Drosophila melanogaster: one gene and its partners. The protein of the gene in region 2 interacts with the protein of the main gene of each other region in a pairwise test. Each region holds a gene or a part of one and is shown on either strand. Other genes may lie near its edges.

Region 1 (6,049 bases), on a different chromosome or scaffold from region 2:
TTTTTCATGCGTCCCCGAGAACCAGCGAAAATTTTCGGGTGTTGTATACTACTCTGGCAAAACCTCAAAACGGGCACTGCAAACACGAGTCATTTGTCCAAGGATCAAGTTCTCTGGTCGCACGGCACTGCGAGACTTCGAGGGTGCATATTTCTTGCCGCGAGACAGCTCTTGTACGGGATAAAATCCTATTTTAAAGCAAGCGAAAATGCTTTATTTTCTGTTGTGAGTTTCAGTGTGGCCGCGCAGTCACTTTTCGACAATACTGCAGATTGCACCCATGTAATTGAAGCGAGTTGGCAGTCGATGCACTGGGGAACTAGTTTCTAGTATACTTGGCGTATGCATGAAAACGATTTTTACAAACTACGAATACATTTATAACTTACTCAGATTCGCGTTAAGACAGTTTTATTTTTAAGTTAGCGCTAGACTATGAAATGTGTATTAAATGTTACAAATCTAAAAATTGTTTTACTATTAAATAGGCTATGCAAAATTTATTAAATCGACGAACAATATAGGTTATAATATAAATTAGGAACAAAAGGTATAAAGTTTTAGTGTAGATCAAGTTGAAGTAGGGAAATACATTATGGGAAATACAATTTTGCTAAGACAGAAGAACCTTATAAGAAGCTTAACACGTCCACTGTTTTGTTCCGATTTGATAGAAAATTTGACACAACACTTAGATAATTGTAGATACTTATTGGAAAAAACTATTTTAATGTTTATATAAAAAGAAATGAAACTGACATATACACACTAAATGCACTGTAATTGTGTGAAATATGAGGTAATTTTATGATTTTTCCAATGCAAATATATGCGGATACATGTATATATATTGTCCATTTCAATTTTTAATAACAATTTTACATTTTCCGTTACACAAATGATTTAACGGTATATATGGCATTTGGTGAACACGGCTGGTTCAGTTCCCGAACCCAGTTCCAATGATGATGATTTATGTGTGTGTGTGTTGTGTGTAGGGGGAATTTGTTGATAGATAGAACGAGAAAAACAGTCGCAGCAAAACAACAAAGACGACGCAAAACAGTCGAATTTAGTTTTCAATATCAAGTGAAATCATTTCGCTTTGCTCATCTGCCATCGTCGATCAATATCTTGTGTACTCAAACGACGGGACTCTGCAACTGAATATCGCTGAAAAAAAGCATCTAAAGACCAGTGAAAGTGTAACTATATAAAAAAAATACAATCACCAAAGCACAAATCTTCAGCAGCAATGACCACATATCAAATGAACTTCAACCAGGACTTTACGTAAGTAGCGACATCTGTGCTTAAATCCTTAAATCCCGGAAGGTCACCAAAGCGAAAAGTGGCAAACAATTGAGACACAAAAATCGACAAATGAGACGGGTAAATAAGGCGAAAACAGCTGCTGTGGGGAAGGTGGACGGGGATCGTTAGTGTGTCTGTGGGTAAGCGTGAATTGGCGTCATTTTTCGTGTCGTGTGTGTGTGTAGTTTATTAGAACATGCAAACAAGCAGTTCCAATTACAATAGCATGCATTCATCTAACATTTTGGAATGCCTTTCCCGTTTCGGGAGGGGGCTGGGAACCGAACTCGGTACACTGTCAGTGGCCAACAAGCGACCGATTTAGCAGTATTTCCATTCTGATGGCCACTGTGCGGGACACCAACACTCGCACAATTGGCGCACAATCAATTGTTTATGCGCAACAGCTGATGACTAAGGAACAAATGAAAGTGCGGAGCGATAAGGATGAAATAAAATGACAAGAAACAAAGGGGGTCAATCTGGCGGGAGCGCACTGTAGCTATCAACGCAGCCTTAATCTCGAGCTTAATTAACCAGTTTCGCTATTGCACGGTACGTTGATGTCATCCAAGAACAGGGTGAGGGAAGAAGTGCGAGCAAGCCTTAGAAAGAAACGCAAACATCAATATGACTATTTGTGGTGAAAATCGAATCGAAAAGAATATAATCTGAAAAATTTGTCATAGCTCAAACAAAGCAAAAGAGAGATTTCCAATCAGTAACAAATCAAGCACGGGTGAATGTACGCGAAAACGCAAGTCAAACAATTGGCTATTATCTTTTGGGGGTTTTCCTACGATACTCTGTAGTTTTAAAAAAAAAAACTCAAGTCTCAAGTCTATCAGCAATGTACAAATTTAAAATGTAAACAGCATTATTCCAAAATTTTTTATTTTGTTATGTAATTACTATCAAATTGCTGTTAGCTGACTAGGAATTTAGATTGTACGCACAGATTTAATATATTATATGCGAATTTTGATCAAAGGAAATAATTAAGCCTTCGTCATAGGACTGCTACATCAACTAATAAAATCTTAAGATCAGGCATTTAAAGTTATATTGTTTAAGACTTCAGACTTATACTTAAGACTTGCGGTCGGATAAGGTTTGTTTTTGTGTGTGTCATCAAGATTCTTGAGTTTGTTGTTATTTATTTGATAAGCCAGCGCAATTGCTCATAAGCTTTAATTTTAATGCAAACGACCGTAAGTGCACTTTTGTCTGATCAGTAAATTTATTTTCGATGCCCCATGTAAGAGAATGACAACGTGTGCGTTTATTTTACTTAAACACTGCGTTTGTTTACTAACAACGCGAAAACAAAAACAACTGAGAGAGTAACAACAAGCAAGAGACCTCAATGCGCTATCGCATAACAAGGGGTAACCTTGGGCCCATTTTAGCGTCGTTACGCCTTTGGCGGGAACTAGTTTGGGATCCAAGAGAACAAATAGTCAGAAATAGCAACAACACGTGTTGCGCTCACTGATCACATTACTGTGGTAAGCTTATCGCGTGGAGCGTGCGCTCCAAGCCAACTATGTGCCAAAAATCAATCGCAATAATTGGCAGAGCTCAGCTTGCGAAGACAAAAAACAGGTTTGAAATGTGGCGCTCAAAATACGGGCCACCACCAATGTCCAACTAGGACTGCGAACATCTGGCAGCCTCGCCAGGTCTGCGAGTTTGGCCACACTTGGAAATGCGGCACCGCTGACATTGAAAAGGCGAGAATTAAGCGATAATTGATTGCAGTTTGAAATAGGAGCGAGAGAGTGCATGGGTAAAAATCAATACAGGGAGCACGCCGATGGAGCAGCGCGCCAACTTTCTGGCTCTGACCCTCCTGGACGCCCTGGAGGACGAGAACGAGGCTGATATAATGTCGATGCTGGAGAGGAACAGCATAAATGCTGGCATCGTGCCCTGCGATCGAGGACTGGCTCCCTTGCACTACGTGTGCGGCATGCGAAACGGGGGACTGGCCCAGCGAATCCTGGAGCGGTTTCTCGAGTGCCCCGACCTCGACGTGAATGCCTTGTGCGACGGCCAGACCACGGCGCTGCACATCGCTAGCATTTATGGGCGGACGGAACTGGTTAGGATGCTGCTGGAGCGCGGAGCTTGCGCGGACCTGGCTGATGAGGATAATAAGCTGCCAGTTCACTACGCCATTGAAGAGTGCCACTTTGAGGTGCTGCAGCTGCTCCGGGATCACATCTTCCGCGAGAGGCAGATCCAGAAAAAGCAGCAACAGCGAGTCCAGGTGGTTGACGCTCTAACCCCCAATCAGCCTAGGTACAATCACGATGTAACTTCCCCGTACTATATTAATATCACTCACAGGCGGCATCGACCGCAGCCGAAGTTTCCGGAGCCAACGGAGGTGGAGTGCGCCGACATTCCACCCCTGCCCGATGAGGAGTCTGTGAACCTGTTTGCCCTCACTGAAGCTCACCTTACCCAACTCATCCAGAGCCAACGGCAGAACCAGCCGGAAGATCCTTGTCAGCCAAAGCGGCGAACTCTTATTGAAAGCTGGCGTGAGAAGGTGGAACGCTCGCGCGCCCGCCAGTCCCTGTTCCATCAGTACGATGAGCATGTGGAAGCGATGGTGGATGATGCTATTAGTCAGGAGGACTTCAACTATAAGGAGCACCTGCAGAAAAAGCTCAGAGACGAGGACAATTCGAAGAATCTGACAGAGGATGCACCCAACTCGGGTCGTCAGGTGTTCGAGATGCTAGTGGAGCAAGTCTCTCAGGCTGTCGTCGTGGAGCCGGAACCGGAGCACAGTTTCTTTACAGCTCAGGGCGACGAGGTGGACGTGGCGGAGAGCTCAGCACGCCAGGATGAGTACTTTCTGCAAATCAAGGAGGCCTACGTTCACACCGACGACGAGAATGGGTTAGTTTTCTACGAAGCGAGATACCTACAAAACAGGGACAGGCGGGAGCCAGTCGAGCAAACTCCCAAAGAGAGGAAGCACGATTTGGAAAGCTCCGTGAGCACTAATTATACCCTGCCACTTGACTACGAAACGGACGCCCTGCGCCGGGAGTTGACACAGCTAGGGGCTCCGGTGGGTCCCATTACCAAAACAACTAAGCGGCTGTACATCAAGCAGCTAATCAAATACAAGCGCAATACGGAGGCGCTGCTGGCCGCCCAAAAACACGCCCAGGATGCGCAGATCCGATACTCGGTAGAGCTTCATCGCACGCTGCGGTCGCCAGAGGACTTTGCGAGGATCAATGATTACTTGCCGCATGAAGCAACCTCTGCAGCGCATTTCGCACAGTGTGGGGTGACAAAAAAGAACATGCGAGAGGGGCACCTTAAACAGAGCTTCATCTACATGTTGATTGATCCACGCATTTCTCGGAATCTGCCTGGGGAGAGCGCTTTTCTCGAAAAGTTCGGGGTTTGGCAGCGTTTTCTGGACTCCATTTTTTACATAGGCAAGGGTAAATGTTCGCGACCGTACGCTCACCTTTACGATGCCATGCGGCAGCACACACGCCTTCACCAGAAGCGCGAAAAAGATAAGACAAATAGGGAACGCGGCGGCGGATTCCGCACCCTACAGCCAGATGTTTTCCGCTCCCCTCCACCGGGAGATGGAAAGATGGGAAGCCGTAAGCTGGAGCGCATCCTGGACATTTGGCAACATGGCAGTGGAGTCGTATGTCTTCATGTCTTTCACAACATCTTGCCAATTGATGCATACACACGCGAAGCTTCCATTATAGACGCTCTGGGCTTGAATCACCTTACCAATATAAAGCGCGGCGACTACTATGGGCCGGCTCAGTCTTGGACCATGAAACAGAAAAAGCAACTGGGAATAGCGCTGCTTTTCAAGGCCATGCACATCTATCTGGCGGAGGGAGAATCACAGTTGTCGCCAAGCGACCTCCTCTGAGAACGGGAATAAAATGTGGAAAAAATATTTACCATTATTACAAAGTGGAACGGCGCATCTCGAATATGTTCAAAGATTGATCTCAAGATTAATTTTATTTAGAAAATGGGCAGAATAAAAAAATTGGGAAATAAGTAAGGCTATTGAATTCAAGGCAACAGTTTACAAATTTAATTCTAGCTGGACCATTAGCGGTAGCATTTTAAATGATGAGATGATTTACAAAATATTATTATATTAATTTTTAGTCAAATAGTTATGCAATTTGGACAGATTAATTTCAAATAATAAAATACGTCCATTCAAAGACACGATTTATTCATGTACTTACGAATTTCTGAAACATTATTGCATGCATTTACTTAATATAAAGCCTTTCCGATAAGGTAAACAAATAATTAATAAGTTTCCCGGAGGAACAATTGACAACAAACCTAGTATTGTCTCTTTAGTTTCATCAAAATTAATTATAAATCAACACTGAAATGTTTTAATATTTGAAATTGGATAAGATTCAATAATTGTCCTGAAAGAAGGCGTAAAGCGTAAATCGCTTGAATAATAGCGTCCAAGACAAAATTAGGTTTATAAGGTTACACACAAATTTTGGACAGGTACGAAGGAAGTCGGTGAACATCCTTGCTTCAAAACTACAATTCGGGTTTATCAATTAAAGCAATATGGCCTTATAATCATTCTGATCAATAATGTATACTTTATATGGTCGGAAACGCTTATTTCTACTTGTTACACACTCTTGTAGTAGTATACCATTTTACTCTACGAGTAATAACTAGAACACGA
Region 2 (9,584 bases):
AGGTCTTCTTTATGGTTGTCAAGGTACTTAACTTAAGGTTTTAGAACCTTAAAAAGTGAATTTGTAACAGGGCTAGGCTAGTCCACCTTTGTACTTTCCATTTAACATACTTTTTTTTGGGTAGCGTGACCCCTATTAGAGCTTCGTTATTCCCCAGAAACAAAGTAATTGTGACTTTTGGGTATGTAAGGAATGCGAAAAGTTCTGGATCGTTCATTCCGTTCTATAAGTCCCCTTTAAAATCTTATCAAACTGCACATGACAATGGGCTTTACCCTTTCAAGATCTCGAAGCTTTGAGTACCCATCCTAAAATGTATTCTTAAATTAATAAGTGAAATAAAATCAGGATACTTATTGTAAAAGATATAAATTCCTAAGTTATAAGACCACATATGGACTTCAGACTTCAGACTTTAGTTCAATATGTATCAATAATCGACAATAAATTTATTTGAACAAAAATAAGACAGACAAGAACATATTGTAATACTCTACAAAAGCATCAGATTTGAATACATTTCCAGTGCGGTTACATACAGTTCCCGATGGGTATTTTCCAGTCGGGTCTAAACCGATCAGGCGATTCTAGTTAAAGTTCATGCGTGGCACTGAGCCCAAAAAAATTGATAGTCACAATCTGTAGGTGGCGTAGTCGTCAGCAGTTTTCGCGTTCTGCGCAGTTCTCGTTCTCTCCGGCAATTTCATAATCTGAACAAAGTGCTCGACCACAGGTAAAAATGCTCGAGCACGGCGCACACAGAGCCAAAAATCGGGGGTCTTACGTACACGAGTATATGTAGGTGGTATACATGCGAAAGTCCCCGTCACGTCGGCACATCAGATGACAGTGGTGGGACCTCCGCATTCAGCAGCTATTCACAATATTAGTTTACTGCTATTGTGGAGCAAAGTCGCAAATATTTCCGTAGCCAAAGTCACGTTCGCCCACCTGATAACTTCCAGTCACTGGGTTGCATTATCAGGTTGGGAATCTGCTGCTCGGTAATGGGAATCTCAGCAACAACAATAACTAATTTGTTGACTTTCGACACTCGAGAGAATTCTCGATTTTGTGACGTGAACTATTCATTAATCTCCTTCATGAAGAAAATAGATTGGACAGTTTTGTTTTCATATTTTTGACCAAACATTATCTGATCTTAATCAAATGTTGAATTTTACTAGTACACAATATGACGCATCTAGAACCAAAAAATCGTATTTTCCCCTGACTCATTGTTTTCATCTTTTGTAGCCTTCCGCTTCTTGAGAATCTAGAATCTTCATGTTAAGCTCATAGTCTGGTTGACTAATTACACATTTATAAATATTTACAATCTTGTGTCAATAAATAAAAACAGCGTTTTTTACCCCAGAGCCCTAAAGAAACAAATTCGAATTATTCTTGGTGAGATCAAATTTCAATGTATTATGTTCTTTTTTGCAATTTTCACTTACAAGATTTTAAGAGTACACAAAGCGTAATACAGAAGTATTAAATAATAAATAACAATTTGCATTCGTTGCATTTTTTAACATGGAAACTAATGTGTTTTAAAGCCCAAAAGCAAATCAGGGCGACTGTCCTTTGATAAGATCAACAGTTTGCAAAAAAATTAAAATGTTAAATGTATTGTACATAGGTAGGTTTTAGGAAGAATCGGTTGCAGAGAGGAGGCTGCGGAGCGGCGTGATTCTTGAACGAATCGAATCGGGGCTGCAGCGCGATTGGAAGGCAGTGAGTTCTTGTGTGTCTAAGCTTTAAGTCTTTGTTGGCAGTACCACCTGCAGGAAGACGACGTGGAACGCAGTCGGAGTCGGCGCGACCCGGAAGGCCAGGATGTCCACAGTGTCATATCATCCGATATGCCCAGTCCCGGCGGCTAATCAGTCGGCATTCAGCCGGATGCAGCCAACGCGCCAGCGTGTCCCAGAATGCAACCCGTGGGTGACTCCACGAGCTCCAATCAGCCCATGTCCACATCCGTATCGGGTTCGGGTTCCGTGGACAGCCCATTGGCATTCTGAGCCATTTGGAGCGTGGAGCGCGTGTAGTCCAATGGCTCCACGCCAATGTCCTCGTACTCGTGCTTGTCACCCAAGGGACAGAGTCCTTCCTCGTCATCATCCATCGCATCGGCGGCAGTGCCTTCGTCCTCCTCCGCATCGCTCCAGTCCTCGGCCACCTCCACGTCGACTGGCAGGTACATGTGGAAGGGGCGCTGCTCTCGCAGCCACGGGGTAAGGAAGATGTGGCTGGCGGTCATTCGTTCCGTGTAATCCTTCCGCAGCAGCGAAAGCAACAGCCATCGCACCGACTTAGACAGCGTCAGGGGTATCTGGACATTCCCGTGGCGTATGACGGTGATGAGGTTGCAGTTGGCCTTCTCGTAGAACGGGTACTGACCCACCAACATGGTGTACAGGATCACGCCCAGCGACCACATGTCCGCCGGTTTGCCCTTGTACGTTTGCTGGGGGCACAGCAGTTCTGGAGCGGTGTACAGTGGGCAACCGATCTTGTCGCTCAGAGTATCGTCCTCGCCGTCGAGGATCATTGAGCCTTCCAGTGATTCATACTGCAGTTTCGTTCTGTAATTAGCAAATGACAAAATCGAATAAATAATCCGCCAAAATAGGGTACAAAATATATGTTTATGCTTCTTAGAAATAAAACTAACAGTCTTTTTTTTACCCGTTTCTATTAATATGTTGAGAACTATTGTTGCCAAAGAAGAGTAGATATGACTGCAACTTGAGTTGGCACTGCCACTATTCTGATCGCAACTGTACCCGTTCATCAGACCCATCGTCGAGCTCTACATCATGTGCAATCCCTGGGACTTGCATAACCCCCGATTTTGTGGGGCCATTAGCTAGCGCAATATCGAAGAGACTTGAATCGATCGGCCACGGAGCTTCAGTTTCAGTTGTAGTTGTCTTTGGCGTTGGCGTATTGACAAGTCAAAAGGCAAATTGGCCGAGAGAGCACATTGTGAGCTGAGCTGAGTTGACTTGGATTGGTGACGAAAGCGCAGCTTGCGACCCCCGACACCCATGAGCGAGTGCCGCCGCCGCCGCCGCCTCCGCCCCTGCACTCCACTCCACTCCCCCTCCATTGGGCCACTCCACTCCATTGACATTGGCCCACATTCGAATGCAAAAAGCAAAAAAGTAACGAAAACGCCAGCGAGCACAGCGCATAGATCCAAAGAGAGTCCGCTGTGTGAGCTGCGTGAGTAGTAAGGTGAGGTGGAGTGACGTATCGCAACTTGTTGCTGCAACGGCGCTTCTGCTGGGACCCGAGCACCACTACCAACATTGGGTATTCCGCCGATAGCGAACGGAGCGATATACAAACACACGGTCGCCGCGGTCTGGTATCCAAACATCCAAAGAGCCAAACACAAAGCAGGCCAAAAAAACCTCGAGCTGACCCTGAACAAAAACAAGCTTTGAAAACGCGCCTCTCCTCGGCACAAATCACAGTGTACACTGAAAGAAACAAATTACCTTCAACTTGATAGCAACAGGTGGGCAATCAATAAGAGGGAAAAGAGATAGCGCATTTAAATAATATATTCAAAGAACACGGTTCTTAATTAAGAGCATGTTTCTATACATTTGTTTTCGGGTTTCATTTGATTTTTGTGTCCTCTATCGTCTAGTTACCCCATTCGATACAGAAACATTATAAACTTATATTTAAGATCAAGGCAAGCATATATAATTATACTTTTAAGATCAAGGTTTTATGTGAACCAATATTTATATTTTTGAGTGCACGGAAGGCAGGTGGAGATGTGATGAGGAGAATAGTTACAGCTGCTGACCTCGATGCGCGACATAACCGAGCTTTGAAGAGCGTCTTGTGGATCTCTTCTTTCCCTCTCTCTCTCTCTCTCGCTCTATACGTTTGGCACACATTAACCCGCGACAGAGGTTAAAATAAAATCGGAATCGAAACGAAATACGGAAAACCGGCGCCGCATAAATGCTCAAACACCTTGGAAGTATTTACGTACGGCAAAAGAGTAGACAAAATAAAAGTATGAACCAGAGATTTTTACATGCATAAGCATACGCATTTGTATATGGGAGGCACTGGCATATATGCATGTACATAAATGCGTTCAAATACAGAAGATCAGAGTCAGGGACATTCACCGCACTGTGACCTTAAAAATTCGGCTCGTTATTTGGTTGTGCGTGTGTGTGGCCGCCCCGTTGGACATATGTAGATATGGATATGGCCACGCCCATAGCCCATATAGTATGTATGTACACCCAGCGAGCACTTATCTATATAGCGATGTATTATTCGAATGGAAATGGGAATGGAAGTGAGCGCCAGTAATCGCAGCGCATTTGAGTCGTATTGAACACTTGTTGTTTATTTCTCGCCAAGGTGAGAGAAGTATAGTATAGATAGAGATCTATGGGTTGGTTTCTTCCTTCCGCCGTTTTGCACTTGGCACAGAACGACGAAATGACGAAAAAATCAGCAGATATTGCGCTAATTGCAGAGTCATACGAAATCGACCAAATGTTCAAGTCGTTCCATGCTGATGTCAGTACAATTTCGAAGATAATAAGAACGGGAGACAGCGCGTTTTCGATACAGTTGTGTTAATTAACATATGCGAAAATACATTTTCGATGAAGGTGGGGTCAATATTTCATCATCCACTGTAAACTCACACACGGGAAATCGACAAATCAAGCGAACGCCGAGTACGTGGCCCACAGATCCCCACCCCAAAACCATATTGCAAATGCTATGTTGAACAATTCTTGAAATGTGGCAATTTCTAGCTTCCGAAATGTGTAATGAAAAAACGAGTGAGCCAACATTTTGGCCATCAGTGTGGCACATTGGGCCCTTGTGTACGAGTATGTACACAGAGATACAGTCGGGGTCTGCAAAATAAGGCATATGCTTGCTCACTGAATGGCAATTCAATGATATTACATAAATAATAATTCTTTAGCTACAAAGCTAATACACCATGTTAATTAATAGTTTAATAATAGGTGTATTTCAAAAACTTATCTTTGAAATTATTTAACATTTTTGATCTTATTCCCATTCATTTTTGCAATGCTTCGCATAGTAGGAATATATTTTTACTTATAAAATTAGTTTGAAACTACCATTATACCCTGTGCTGTACATACGTACGCCTTGCGTTCATTCGGTTTGTCAGTATAATTGTTGTTGTTGGCCTATTGGTGATTCGATTGCAACACTTGTTAAATGTTCAATGTTACCCACAACGACGGCGCCAGCAACAAAAACAAAAGCAACAACAGCAGCAGCAGCAGCAACTACAACAACATGGGCCAATAACAAGAGCAACAATTGTGGCACCACCAACACACGACCACAAACAAGATCTCTCGCTCATAACGAGTTTCCATCGAATTGCAAAATAAACCGACTAGCCAGCCATATGCAATTGAGTTGGTATAAGTCAGGCATATGTGGCGTATATTGGTGTATATGGGTTTTTCGAAGGTGTCACCTGGACACGCAACTCACCTGGCCTCGTCGATGAAGTAGAACCGCTTGAGCTTGAGGTCCCTGAGGATAATCCCGTTGCGGTGGCACACCTGAACAGTCTGACAGATCTGGTGGAATATGGCCCTCGCCTCCGTCTCGCACAGTCGCTTCGCGTGGCGGATGTAGGTGTGCAGGTTCTCGTACACCCCGGTCACCCCACCCGTGGAGTCCCTCTCCTGGGGCACGGGCGCAATGAGGATGTAGGTGCGATCCTTGGTAAGCGGTATGATATCGTGCACGGGTCGGATCAGTGGATGGCCATAGATGGTGCTCCGGCGTAGCTCCTCGTCGTGCTGCTGCAGCTGAAAGTAGGCTCGTTGCACCTTATGCAACGGTTCGTTTACAATACGGCAGAGGAACTGCTCCCCGGTGAAGATGTCCACGCAGCGCAGATTGGAGGCGGTTAGATCGACCAAGTGGCGATACGAGGCGGGAGTCTTGGCAGCCACGGCGGCCGATATGTGACTAGGCTGTGCGCTGATCAGATAACGCTGTTGGATGAGCTTGACGGGCTGCTGGTCTGTGGGTTCCGCTGCGATGCCCAGGGCCAGAAGGTCACAGGCTCCGCCGGGCGTCATTAGCTTCTCCCTGATGGTCTGCAGCATCTTGGCATTGGGGAACTCCTTTTTGGGCGTAAATAATCCCAGTACGGTGTCCTCCTGGCTGCTACTCATGCCGCTGCTGCTGGATGATGAGGATGAGGAGGTGGCGGCTGCGACTCCTGGCGAGACTGGTGACGAATAGTTGACTATTTTGCTTGTGGACGCTGACGAAGCCGTTCTGCTGTTTTGACCGCTACTGTTATCCATGCTTGCTTGTGTTTACCACTTCACTTAACTTTATCACAGTTCTTGCTCTCGCTACGTTTTCTTCGTCTTATTCTCTGCTAATGCTTCTTCTTACTAATTTTGTTACTCCGCTTTAGCCTGGCTGTACTTGGCTGTTAATTGTTTTGACATTTAGCGACGCGCCGTTTAGTCTCCGATTAAATTCGATTTAAACTCTCGTTTAAACTCAGGGCTACTACTACTTCGGTAGTTTGGCCATTTGCAATGCGGGTACTGACGAAATGCGGCGATTTTAAAACAAATCGGACGCTGCTCACTGAACTCGCGAAACGAAACGAACGCGACCGTCTTCTCCGCAGTTTGAATTTCAAATGTGACCATCCACGCGGTCGGAAGAAGCACGAAGCGAAGAGAACGGCGAAATACAACGGCTCTCTTTCGCACCCTCTTGCTCGCTCTCACTGCACCGATCCTTCTCTGCCTCGCTCACACCCGTTGCAGGAATTTAGCTCAATGCGGTCGGAATGGAAAGAGAAGTGGGAGACCAGAGAGCGTCGTTATTTTTTGAAATCCAAATGGTTGGGAGAGAGAGAAAGAACAAGAGCATCGTTATTTTTGAAAAAATTGCGCTGAACGCTGAAATTCCGATTCCAACTGAATTCGAAATACGTAGCTGTATGAACACTATACCCACAGCAACCCTTAAACTTTTCTTCTACGATTTTACGTAGTAATCTGCGCACCAATAAATCGTGGCGATAAGTTAATTAGAGGGGGTTAGTAAACTGATAAAATCCACAGTTTTAAGATCAAATTAATGAAAGTACAGTCAGCTTGAACTTCGATTTTGTTTTATTGAGTACGGGTACGGATATCGAAGGCAGAAACACCCGTATAACCATCTCTATAACTCGAAAATATCTTTTGTGGTTTCTTGGCTTGGATACTTAAGGTTTTCTCCTGCTCTGATAAGGTAATATTTTACAAGTTTGGTTGAAATTATTTGTTTTCCCATAGTTACGAAATTTTTAAACCAAATTCAATGATGATGTGCAGTTTTTGAGTAGTTGCTTTGCAAACTACTATTATTATAAAAAAACATAAAACATAAAACATTTTAATATCCTAATATACATACAAATTTAAAATTAAGAAATTTGTCTTCTTAATACTCCAGATTAAGATCTCTTATATCCCTAAGTATATGACCACAGATGGACATTTCAGATGTACAAACATAGTTCTAGTAAATCCTAGAATTTAAATAAATGCTCCCAAACTCGAATCTTCAAATAACGCTTCAATCTCTTGGATCCAAATCGATCATTGAATTTTTTCCTGTGCGAGATCATTACTCATTTGTGTGTGTGTATGTGGATTTACCTTGCTGTTTACCTCGCGGTGCAGACGATTTCATGATTTTTGCAGCTGTCCGAAACGAGGATCACTGGGCTACGCAGGAATTACGACAGCAACAGAAGGCAGTTATCCGAGATCCTCAAGGAGCAGGTAAGAACCACCGAGCGGCATTATGTCGCAGGTAGATTCCTACATACATATGTCAGCTGCACTATTCCACCCCTAAGCACTATATGGCAGATATAGTGCATCGGTGCAGGGCTGTACATGCGATGCAGTTGCAGTTGCAGCTGGCGCAAGGTGATTTCCCACTAAAGACATCCGTCTGAGGATACACAGGAGCACATTCGCGGTCACAATAATAGGAACTATCGCAATCGAATCTTTAGTAATTGGAAATGAGGGTCTTTAAATATAATTTTTAAGACCGAATTGTTGGACTAAAAGACCTGAAAAATGTATTTTTAAAATCGTTGATAGAATTGGTACAATTGTAGGTTAGATATAACTCATTTAGTTTTGAATTTTTTCATTCTGGGATACTGGGATTTTGAATACTAATATTTTCACCGCAACTGTTTATGCAGGCTTGTATTTCGTCCATTGGTTTTCACCGATCTCTTCGATTGAATTCTTCATATTGTAACGCTCTTTTTGAAACGCAACGTCCGTCTTTGCTTCTTCTTCCCACGAAGTAGCCGATAAATACGAATGCGAAAATCGCGAACAGAACAAATAACACCAACAAACCTCTCTTTTCGCCCGTCCCTTTTCCAAAGTCTTGCATCTGTTTCTCGAAAGGAAGATTGAAACGAGAATTATACTGGTACCGTGACACCAATGCAACCGAAAAGGGGGGAAATTATAGGGGTGGCGACATCAAATTGAATTTGAAAAATATTTTATTTGCATACGACATACTTATTTGCAAGCAATTAATGTTTCACTCTGGTCACTGCACTCACTTATACGATTAAATAGGCCTGATCATTTTGATATGAAAAGTGTATGTACGGGAAATATACATATTCTTTAGCAATAATCACGTAAATATACGTGAACACAAACAACCTTTATTCCAGTAAATCGCTTTTGAGTTTCACCATGGTCCGCAATGATGATTAAGTTTTAACTGCAGTTTGCAGTGGGAAGATTATACAAACATATTTCATTGAAATTTGAAATGACGCACTATGATGTTGAACAGTATTGATTATAATCGCCTTGTGAAATAATTTCACATGTAACCGTAACCCATTCCTTTGAACCACTGTGCCCCAAGCCCCACCAAGAGTACGTTACATTTTAAATTTAAATTCGAACATTCGGATGAAGCCGACCTTTCCGACACTCGCGGATTCTTCTGCTCTAAAATTTCAGCGTGCTTTTGCCATTGTGCGAGCTACTTTGTTGTTGCCAAGCTGGCATGAAATCCAGATTTCTCTTCCAAGCAAAAAAAAAAAAAAAAAACAACTCAGTGCGTCATCGGCTGCGTCATCAATTCGGGATGACGACGCCTCGCCATTCCGATTCGCAATTCCCCTTCCTGATTTAGATTATCCATTCCAAGCCCCGTCACATCGACATTTCCCAAAAGCAGGCACACAAACTCGTATATCTTGATTCGCCAGCGGGCGGCAGCTTTAGTTTGTGCATATACCCTGACTTTGGAGTTTCAGATTCGCACGAAATTGTGGAAGGTGAAGTTCTCGAAGTGAGTGAGCGAGTGCTTTGGATGGGAAGTGCATGATGCACGGCCGTGATGTGGCTTTTATAAAAAAAGTAGATTAGGTTGTGGCACGTGGTCTGGGGATTGCACTTGCAGTGGAACTCTGATGAATGTTAATGTCATGCGGTCATTTCAGACCCATA
Region 3 (9,047 bases), 2.9 Mb from region 2:
AAGAATGCGGGAAAAAAGCCCATCCGAACCCAACCCATCCCAACCCGGTATCTGTATCTGCATCTGTGCATCTTTATCTGTGCGTATTTATTTTGGTTTTACGGCATGTATGTAATTACCCGGGAACCGAGTAAAGCAGGCAGAAAAGACAGAGAAATGGAGTGTGTTTCGTATTCTTTGGCCGGTCTCTTCTCCGTCGCGCGTCTTATCATTATTTCCGAGTGTGTATTGTGCGCTTTCTGATTGCTCTGCCCCCTTTTAACCTTCGTATTTAAGAAATTTCTTAGCCCATTACGATTTCACTCAATACGGCGTATGATTTTTGTAGGCCTTCCAACAAAAAATTACATGTTTCACTTTCTCTGGCGCCCGAATAGTCCCCCCCTTCGAAAACAGAAAAATAACAAGAACCGCGTCGAAGAACCAAAAGATAAATGCTTAGACATCGTCTGCCCCTCTCTATTTTGTTTCGAAATATCTTTTCGGGGTTTCTGTTTTTGTTTTCCCCACATCAATCAGAGAATGCTTCGTTCTTTCCATTTCTCTTGTGGGCAAGCATTGAAAAGGGAAATTTCTTTAGCCCAATTAAATGAAAAGAAACCAAATCAGGTTATTCCATGAATTTTGAGCTTATTTCTGGTTCTGCATGTTTGTTTGGCACTGATCGTTCTCTTTGAAATTTTATTTCGCCACAAGACTTAAATGCATTATACAAAAATTGTTTTTGGGAAATACACATTTTCAAATAAACAAATTCTATATATATGCAAGTTGAAGTAATTGTTAATTGGGGTTCTAAGTAATATTCACTTAAGCAAAGCTCTTATACTCTTATACTCTATTATTGACAAACCTAAATTGCCATCCAACTCTAAGTTCTTAAGTTGTCACAAAAAGTTGTCATTTTATGAACATATACAATTTATTTATTAAAGCTGTACTTACGCTTATCGCTCCTGTTTCGCTTTCTGGTTTTGTTGAATTTTTTCATTCAGAATTTGCTACGCAATTTACGCGTTTAATTTGTTGCTGCCTCTGTTCGCCGCACTCGTTTTTCTGTTATTTCACACACAATTTTTTTTATTTAATTGCACACATAATGAACAATATTAAATGCTATATTCGTATGTTTGTGCGTTGAAGACACGCACTCAGCCAATTGAAAATTGTATTTGCGGTTGGGTTTCAATACAACAAATTTATCAAGCACTCACTGAAAATGGAATTGGCACTTTAATTTTTTGTTAAAATGGTCTGAGGATCTTAACAATGATGTATTTATTGATTAAGTGTGGTTTTAATGAACTTCAAAAACGAGATTATTTAATATGTTATTAGTTTTATTCGTTTTCGTACAAGTTTCTTTAGGTTTTTGATCAGACAAATTTGTCAACCAGTTTTTTTTTTTTTAATATTTTTATAGTGTGCGAAAATATTTGTATTGAGCGTTTAGAAATTTAATAATTTTTTTCTGTGACTTGCACGACGAAAATGTGTGGATTCAACTGGGTTCTTGGACACAGGTATCTTTCAGGGAATATTGGAGGTATTGGGAACCGAAAACGAAACCGATTCGGAGCGGAGCGGAACCGAAAAGTCGAGCGACGCGTGCACTTACAGCGACGTCTGAGCAGCAAAAACTCGAGAATAACCAAAGTGCGGCTCAATTTATACGAGGAGTCGAAAAACACAGACCAGAAGATACATTTACAGATGCAGATACAGATACGCGTTCTCTTTGTGTTAGTGTATCTCAAAGATACTTCTAACCGTCACTCTCTTACGCTCTCTCTTCGCTGTGGGGGTGGTCTGTCTCCGCTGTTATCGTTATTGCCGCTCTCTCTGCGCGCTCTGTGTGTTTTGGTTATAAAAGTGTAGTAGATTTTTGGCATTTATCTGTTTTTGTTTTATTTGCATATGTTCAATATGCACGACCCACATTGTTGTTGGTGTTGTTGTTGTTGTCTGATCGCGGCGTATAGAAATAATACGTATACACATGTGTATATATACACCGAATGTACATATTATCTCTCTCGCCCCCCACTCGCACTCACACACACACACTCTCACGCACCGCACACATACAGTTGCACCGCCTGAGTTCCGCTGCCCGTCGGCACAGTCCGCACACGGTAACAATTCGAATACGAATACGCAAAACGGTCTGGCGAACTGAAAACAGCCAAAACTTTTCGCCTGCGCCGACGTCGACGTCGGCAGCGCAGCTGTTTGGAGCTGTTGGGGCTCTGTTAGGCCCCCACGCTGTTAGGGCTCTGTTAGTTCGGCTGCTCTCTCTGTTTGTTATCAGTGGCGTGCGCTCTTTTATCAAATTGGAAAGGGGATTTTGGAGATCAGACAGATCGACCTGGGTTAAACTTTCAGCATACCGGAATATTAGAATACATTACGTTTATAAGGGAATAATTGAAGTGGTTTTGATAGAAGTACCAATTCTTTCATAGAAAGACCTTTATTTTGATTGAAATTCGACAAGTTTGACTTTCTCTTAGCTTGGCTTAGTGTTTTTTAACTTACGAATCACATGTAGTACACAATATTTATTGTTGCATATGTACAATAAAATACATTTTCTGCAAATGACTCAACCAAGATTTTTCGTCTGGGTGGGGTGGGTAATATAAAAAAGTGAAGAGAAGTGATGGATATTCTAAGTCTATGATTCGATTGATTAATTTCTTATTATGAGCTATACATTATTTTCACTAAGGCATGAGGAACAGCTTAAAGCCTGAAAGTTTTGCATTTCAAAGAAAAGTGTTTATGATGAGGAATTTTGGTGGTTTAATGTTCGTTACATTAATGCTCGTTACATTTTAGTTAGTTCCAGCGAAGTACTAAAAAGGAATACTTTTTGCAAAACGTGCTAAATAGTTTCTATAAGTTGCTTTGTGTGTTTACCAAGTGATTTTTGCGATTAAGGGTTATCTCTTAGGTTATGCATCTGCTGTCTGTCGGTGCAACTGACTTTACAATATAGTCTACAGTCTTGGAGGCTAATGGAATTCAGTTTGCGAAATTCCTCGAGTAACTCTCTGGTCGCCTATTAATATTCATATGTGCAAAGTACGTATCAATTGCATATTCGGCGCAAGGTCGTCTGCCAAGCGGCCAGATAGATAGGCAAACTGTCAGATACGCGTACTCATGCAAAGTCTGTGCGCAATAATCAAGCAAATTGAGTGCAACGCAGGCGATGGCGCAGCCGTATCTATTGGCTACTCTTTTGGCAAACTCCCATCGATATCGGCTCGATTCGCAGCTAGACGGCTAATTACGTGACATGTTAGACGCGAAAACAAGTTAAACACGCTCGTTCGATTTGTGTAATTAATTGCAGGCCGAGACGAGCGAGAGCTCAAAAACAAATTCACCTCGAAATGTGCATTGAACTTTTGCGGTTGCTTTTCTCGCCGCCGCCGGATGAATGTTGTTTTCCCTTTTCGGTGGCTCGCTTTTTTTGTAACCAATTCTAGTTGCAATCCGCTGCTGATAACCCGCAGATGAACCCATGGGTGTTGGAGCTTCCACATTGAAGGGGGTTACGCATTCTGAGTGGGCTTGTTGGTGGGTGGGATGGGGCACGAGCAGCTGATGCAGCTGATGTGTGTGTGTCAATGTTTCAGCTTGTAAACAAACGGCAAGCAAATAATGACAAAGTCGACAACGAAACTCCAAAAGTGTTCCTTATTGTTTGTTGTATTGACTACATCGCTGGGCTTATCGCTAACCGTTGTCAGATGGAATAAACATTCACATTTATATGTGTTGCACACAATGTGGTGTGGTATGTATGTGCAGTGGGGCTTCCTTATGACGAACTTGTATATTACATATATTCCTATAAATATTAGGTATTTTTATTGCTAATAAAATAAAAAGTAGAAAAAGCAAAAGCTTGCCATACAATTACTTTTACTAATTCTTATTTCTTTAAGCGATTTCCCTAATTGTTGTTAATTTTTAATGAGCTTGATATTTTACTACTGAAAGGGGAATTGGATGGGGAAATGTTCTTATTTAATCTTGACTGAAAGCAGGAAGCACGCTTATGAATTGGATGAGTTTGAAGCGAATAGAACGGATCAAAAGTCGGAGCTGGCCTATAATGTGTGTCAGTGGTGATAAGCAAATGCGGGGGGTGGGAAAACTATTGTATAAGATCTGAACGGAGTCACTCGATTCTACTCCTCGATCGAATACAGTTTGCATTCGTTATAAGGGTACTTGCCTCTGCCACTCCGAGTCGCCCCATTCCCCGAGTGTGCCTGCCATGACTAATTAAGTAACCAAAAAAGTATGAAAAGAAGGCAAAAAGCTGCTCAAATTCTCAGCATTAAAACGTGCCGACAACTTTGTAAAGGCTGCCAAAAATGCACATTTTTATTTATATTCGCACACAAGTTGTTGGGACATGCTTTTTTGGAGTTGGAATCGATGCGAAGGGTAACTTAGCTGACACGTGAGATTTGAATTTAGCATTTGGGATAAGTGGAAAATGAGAATTATCTTGAAAGTATCTTTATTCGGATACTATTTTAATATGCATTTGATTTTTGTCAGACTAACCATAAAGATTAATCTTTAAATATGAATTAATTAGTAGGTAATAGTAACTAACAGAATAAGTACAACAAGATTTCTTAAGCTATAAGAAATGTAAATATTTAAAGATAATACGTATGTTTAAAAGAGTTAGAAATAAATTCGAAATGAATGTGAATAGATGCTTTTTATAGTCTAGCCAATAATTTGTTAATTATTTCTTAAATAGTGAATTTGCAATTGAAAGTTCCAACCATCATATTAGAGTACCAGTGGGTGTGTTTTAAGGGGCTGAAAGTCGAATTCCTGCCACATGGAGTTTCGATTCCTGGACTCTTCTGCCCGTGTGAATCATGAGCATTAAGCATAAAACCGACATTTAGCTGATTGATCTTAATAAGAATTTTTGCGGCGGGGCGGGGCATTCGGGCGGAGGATGGCTAACGGATCCGTTGGGACGGGTCAATAACATTGTGCGGATGCCTCCTTCTGATTCTCCCCCATATGCATCCCCATATGGATCCACCGATGTTGAGTCCCTGAATTTGAGGGCGTTGCTGGGCTGCGCCTGCGCAACATAACAAACTTTGTGTTTGTTTCCCCCACTCGATGGCGTTTCTTTAATAACTCAGAGTCGAAGTCAGAAATTTTTGGAAGCGAGTAGGAGCTGGGGGGTTCCCTTGTCGGAAATCTGAGTTTGCTTTGCTGAGTTATGTTGCATAGGGTTCTTTCATCCGACTTGGTGCGCGTTTGTATCTCCCAGTATCTTGCGATATAGATATATCTGCGATTTGCACCCAGAACGGATGTCTGTGCTCGATTGTTAAATTGAAATTTGTCGCCAAAAACCAGCAGAATTTGCAAAGCAAATTTCCGACCGAAGTGTCTGGCCTGTTGCATATTTCATATGTTTTGATTCTTGTCTAAAGCTACAGCTTTTTGGCGATTCCTCTGCAGATTTATGCGCAAGTGCTTAATCGAGGCAAGGATACAATAGAGGGTGGAAAAACTGTGCCAAAAACAGCAGTTTTCATTTGAAATCTTCGATAAAATGCAAGACTTCAAGAATTTCAGATTCTACGGTTTTTATTTTTATTATATACTATCAAATGAGGGTATTTTCAAGTAATTATTTCTGATTTATGCGGGTAACCATATTTTTTCTAAGAATATTTAGTGCAAACAAACAAAAAGCCCATAAATCAATTCACTTTTATTTGACTTTTCGAGTGCATTTGATTGTTGCTCTCGGGGTGAGCAAATTGCGCAATATCTACGTCGATTTTTGGCCGTCTAGCAGGCAAATTAAATCAAGCTGCACAGCCGAACACGAAATATATAACCTGATTTCGATGTCTGCAATTCAAATTAAATGCAATTAAACCGAAATTGATAGAAACAAAATCGAACGAATCCAGCAAGCTCTGCGTCTGCTTCTCCATTTTTTTTCCACGATGGCACTTGACAGCTCCTCCTTCTTTTCTGTTCTGATTGCCTTTCCTTCGTCCTTTAGACATCTCAAATTTCGTCTAGCCGAAGTCTACGCTTCTAAGGGGCTTATAAAAAAAAGTATATATAAAAAAGAACGAGACAGAAAAAGGCCCTGGACTTCTGGTTTGGGTTTGGGGTTCGCCTGTCTGCTCCCTGTCTGCTGCGTGGTTCCTTTGTGCTTGGCTTAGATGCTAGTCGGGTTTGGACCTTTTTTTTATGTTGTTTGGGTTAGTCTGCCGAAATTCTGGGTCTTTGTTTTGATTTCGCATTTTGATATCATCTTTCGGCATGTGCAAAGGGGTCGGAGGGGTGTGAGGGAATGTCGCTCTCAAAGCCGAATTTTGTATATATTATATGCGGGATTTATAGAGCTGGCAGTTAGTAGCGAGTCTGGTTGATGCAAGCCAAATTAAATAAATAATTAAATTATACATTTACAAGTATGGAGTTTCCTTGCCTATTCATAATTATTATTTATATTTAATACATTATTAATCTTTTACTGTTTTTATTATCCCTGCTGATTCACTACACAAGAATGCTGTGCTATTTTTGTAAAATAATATTATACATAGTTGTATAAAATTTATTTATATGTTTAAGGTTCCACATAATTTTTCGTACTACAAAAAACCCAATTAAGTTCTTGTTTTGTTTGGTATAGTAGACATACAATGGCTAAATTAAAATTAAAAATTAAAATTAATTAAAATCAACATTTTCAAAGGCCTTGTTATCTGAAGTACCACAATTACATTGTACCCTTTTATAGCCTTTTAACTATTGTCATTAACTATATCAGTGATAACAATTTTATGTATTTGTATTAATCTCTCATTTCAACTACTATCTATCGTTACTAACAGTTTTCTGCCAAAACGATTTTAACTTTTAATTTGATTTGACTTTAATTATTAGGCAAAGTATCATTGGAATCTCTTGGATGAACATCATTATGGTATTTAAAGCTCTTGATTTATCAGATTTCATTTCTTTGTATTAGAAACGTAATCAATGTGAGTTATTTTTATCATTTTTATTTATTAAAAATTTTAAAATTATTATTATTAAAATATATGTATATATTTGATCCGCAGATGTTTTCGCTCATCTCTGGCGAAAAATTACTCTTCCTCAATCTTTTGGCTGCCGAAAAAGTAGCCAGACGAATGTCCACATGTGCCGGGTATGTTGTATATAGTATCTGATGTCTGGACTTTTATTGTATGGCTGACCTTGAATTTATGGAAATTGCATAAGTGGGAAGAAGTTTGTCATATTAAGAAATATACTGGAAGCATAGAAAGCCGAAGGCAGTGATGGTGACATAAACGACCAGACCTTGGCATTGTGTTGAAGGACTGTGAATCGAATTATTCGAGGAAGTTGCTTGAATTATGGCTCAAGGGGGTACTTTGAATTTATGAGTATTCAGGATATTAAGAATGTCTTTTTTTTCGCCGGCCAGCACCATCCATCCATCTTCCACACCCCGAAAACCAAACGAAATCCGCTTCCTGCTGCCAAATAATTTACAACTTGCGAATGCGATGCACAGGCTATGGGAAGAAAACAAATAATGATCAGTCGCACATAATGCATGCATATATCCATGGGCATATCGATAACCCTTATCAAGTGTGCGGCATCGCGGCCAAAAATATACAAATTATGCTTACCAAAAGGCAGAGAAAACATAAATCAATGGTTTTGGAATACTCTAACCAAGACAGCAATGTATGAAACTTCAAACATTTTTCCTTATTTCCAAATTTACTTAAGAGATATTAAGATAAGTATACAAGAAGTGCAAATTTGTTGTACCTACTTAAATATTCATATGCATACATGTATGTACATACATATATGGTTATTTGCGTGTGGTTGGTCGCCTCAAGTGATGGGCGTGGCACTTTCAACTCTGGTTCAACCCATACAATCATGAAAACTCTGACCAGATCTTGCCAAAAATGAGCCCACCTTGAACCTGAGTTTATCAAATTGCAGTCATTTTGCTTGTGGTTTTTATAGTACTTTCAAATAACTGAGATTAGTTGGTCAGTATCGTTACAAAAAAAAGGGTAAAAGTGATCGACTTTTTCACTTTCCGCCAATTTGAGGATATTTGCAGAGATTTGAGTGTTGCATGATTCATAATCGAACATTTATATCATAAAAAAGTAAACAGTTCAGTTGCTTATTTATTACGCAGAATTGCCTTAAGAGTTCAATTAACCATTAAATATTTTTAGAGGTGAAACAACGTTTGCCCTCACTTAATCGACAAAATTTGAACTAATTCGAATAAAATTAAGAGTCAGAACGAATTCACGAGTGGCTAAATTATTGTTTAAAATGACCAAGGGCGTGAGGATTTGCAACGATGGATTGCCTGGTTTGCCGAATGAAAGGCCATATTCCCGAAGAACTTTAGATACGCGGCAAAAGACTCAGAAGATGTCCTCCAGGCCATCTAGGAAACCATTGCAGTCTCTACAAACTGTCGGTCGGAATACGAGTTCCAGCCTGAAGCGCATAGGAAGTCCGATCTCCGAGGAAGAATTTGGTGTCCTGGTGCAGCAGGATTGTAAGGCAGAGCAGCATCACACCGATCGCCAAAACCTGGCGGACATAATCCTTATGCAGGCCCGTCGCATCGAGAAGCAGCAGCGGGAGATGAAAAGAATAAAGGCGCACTATGAGCGCCAGGTGTCCACCATCAAGAACAATGCCATCATGCTGGAGTCGCATCTGCAAAAGGTGCTGGCCAGTGTCGAAAGGGATCGGGCCAAGCGGATTGGCCACCACTGCCAGGACATGCTCGGTGCCGTGGAGAAGCTGCAAAGGAGCGACATCCAAGTGAAGCCGCAATCTTCGGCCAACCAATTGCTGATCCAGTATCTTCACTCCAAGAAAATTTCGCATTCGACCAAGAAGTCCAATGAAAACACAAGTAGGTACAGGAATATGTTGTGAATCGTATTCTTGTG

What was found.
Region 1: the proteins of trbl (region 2) and CG8679 interact in a two-hybrid assay, tested with the Drosophila melanogaster proteins (one large-scale study listed by BioGRID).
Region 3: the proteins of trbl (region 2) and CG6333 interact in a two-hybrid assay, tested with the Drosophila melanogaster proteins (one large-scale study listed by BioGRID).

What each region holds. Positions count from the first base shown.
Region 1 is NT_033779.5:21,215,504-21,221,552, reverse strand, and holds CG8679 (uncharacterized protein), read left to right. Parts: upstream 1-3,008; 5' UTR 3,009-3,130; coding exon 3,131-5,245; 3' UTR 5,246-5,549; downstream 5,550-6,049. Other genes in the region: CG8677 (uncharacterized protein), read right to left, coding at 1-1; Atg18b (Autophagy-related 18b), read left to right, coding at 1,256-1,293.
Region 2 is NT_037436.4:20,394,882-20,404,465, forward strand, and holds trbl (tribbles), read right to left. Parts: upstream 6,729-9,584; 5' UTR 6,375-6,728; coding exon 5,545-6,374; intron 2,595-5,544; coding exon 1,970-2,594; 3' UTR 1,407-1,969; downstream 1-1,406. UniProt on the Drosophila melanogaster protein: Adapter protein that negatively regulates different signaling pathways to coordinate cell differentiation, proliferation, migration and growth.
Region 3 is NT_037436.4:17,480,231-17,489,277, reverse strand, and holds the start of CG6333 (uncharacterized protein), read left to right. Parts: upstream 1-3,047; 5' UTR 3,048-3,087; intron 3,088-6,975; 5' UTR 6,976-7,073; intron 7,074-7,154; 5' UTR 7,155-8,412; coding exon 8,413-9,033; 3' UTR 9,034-9,047.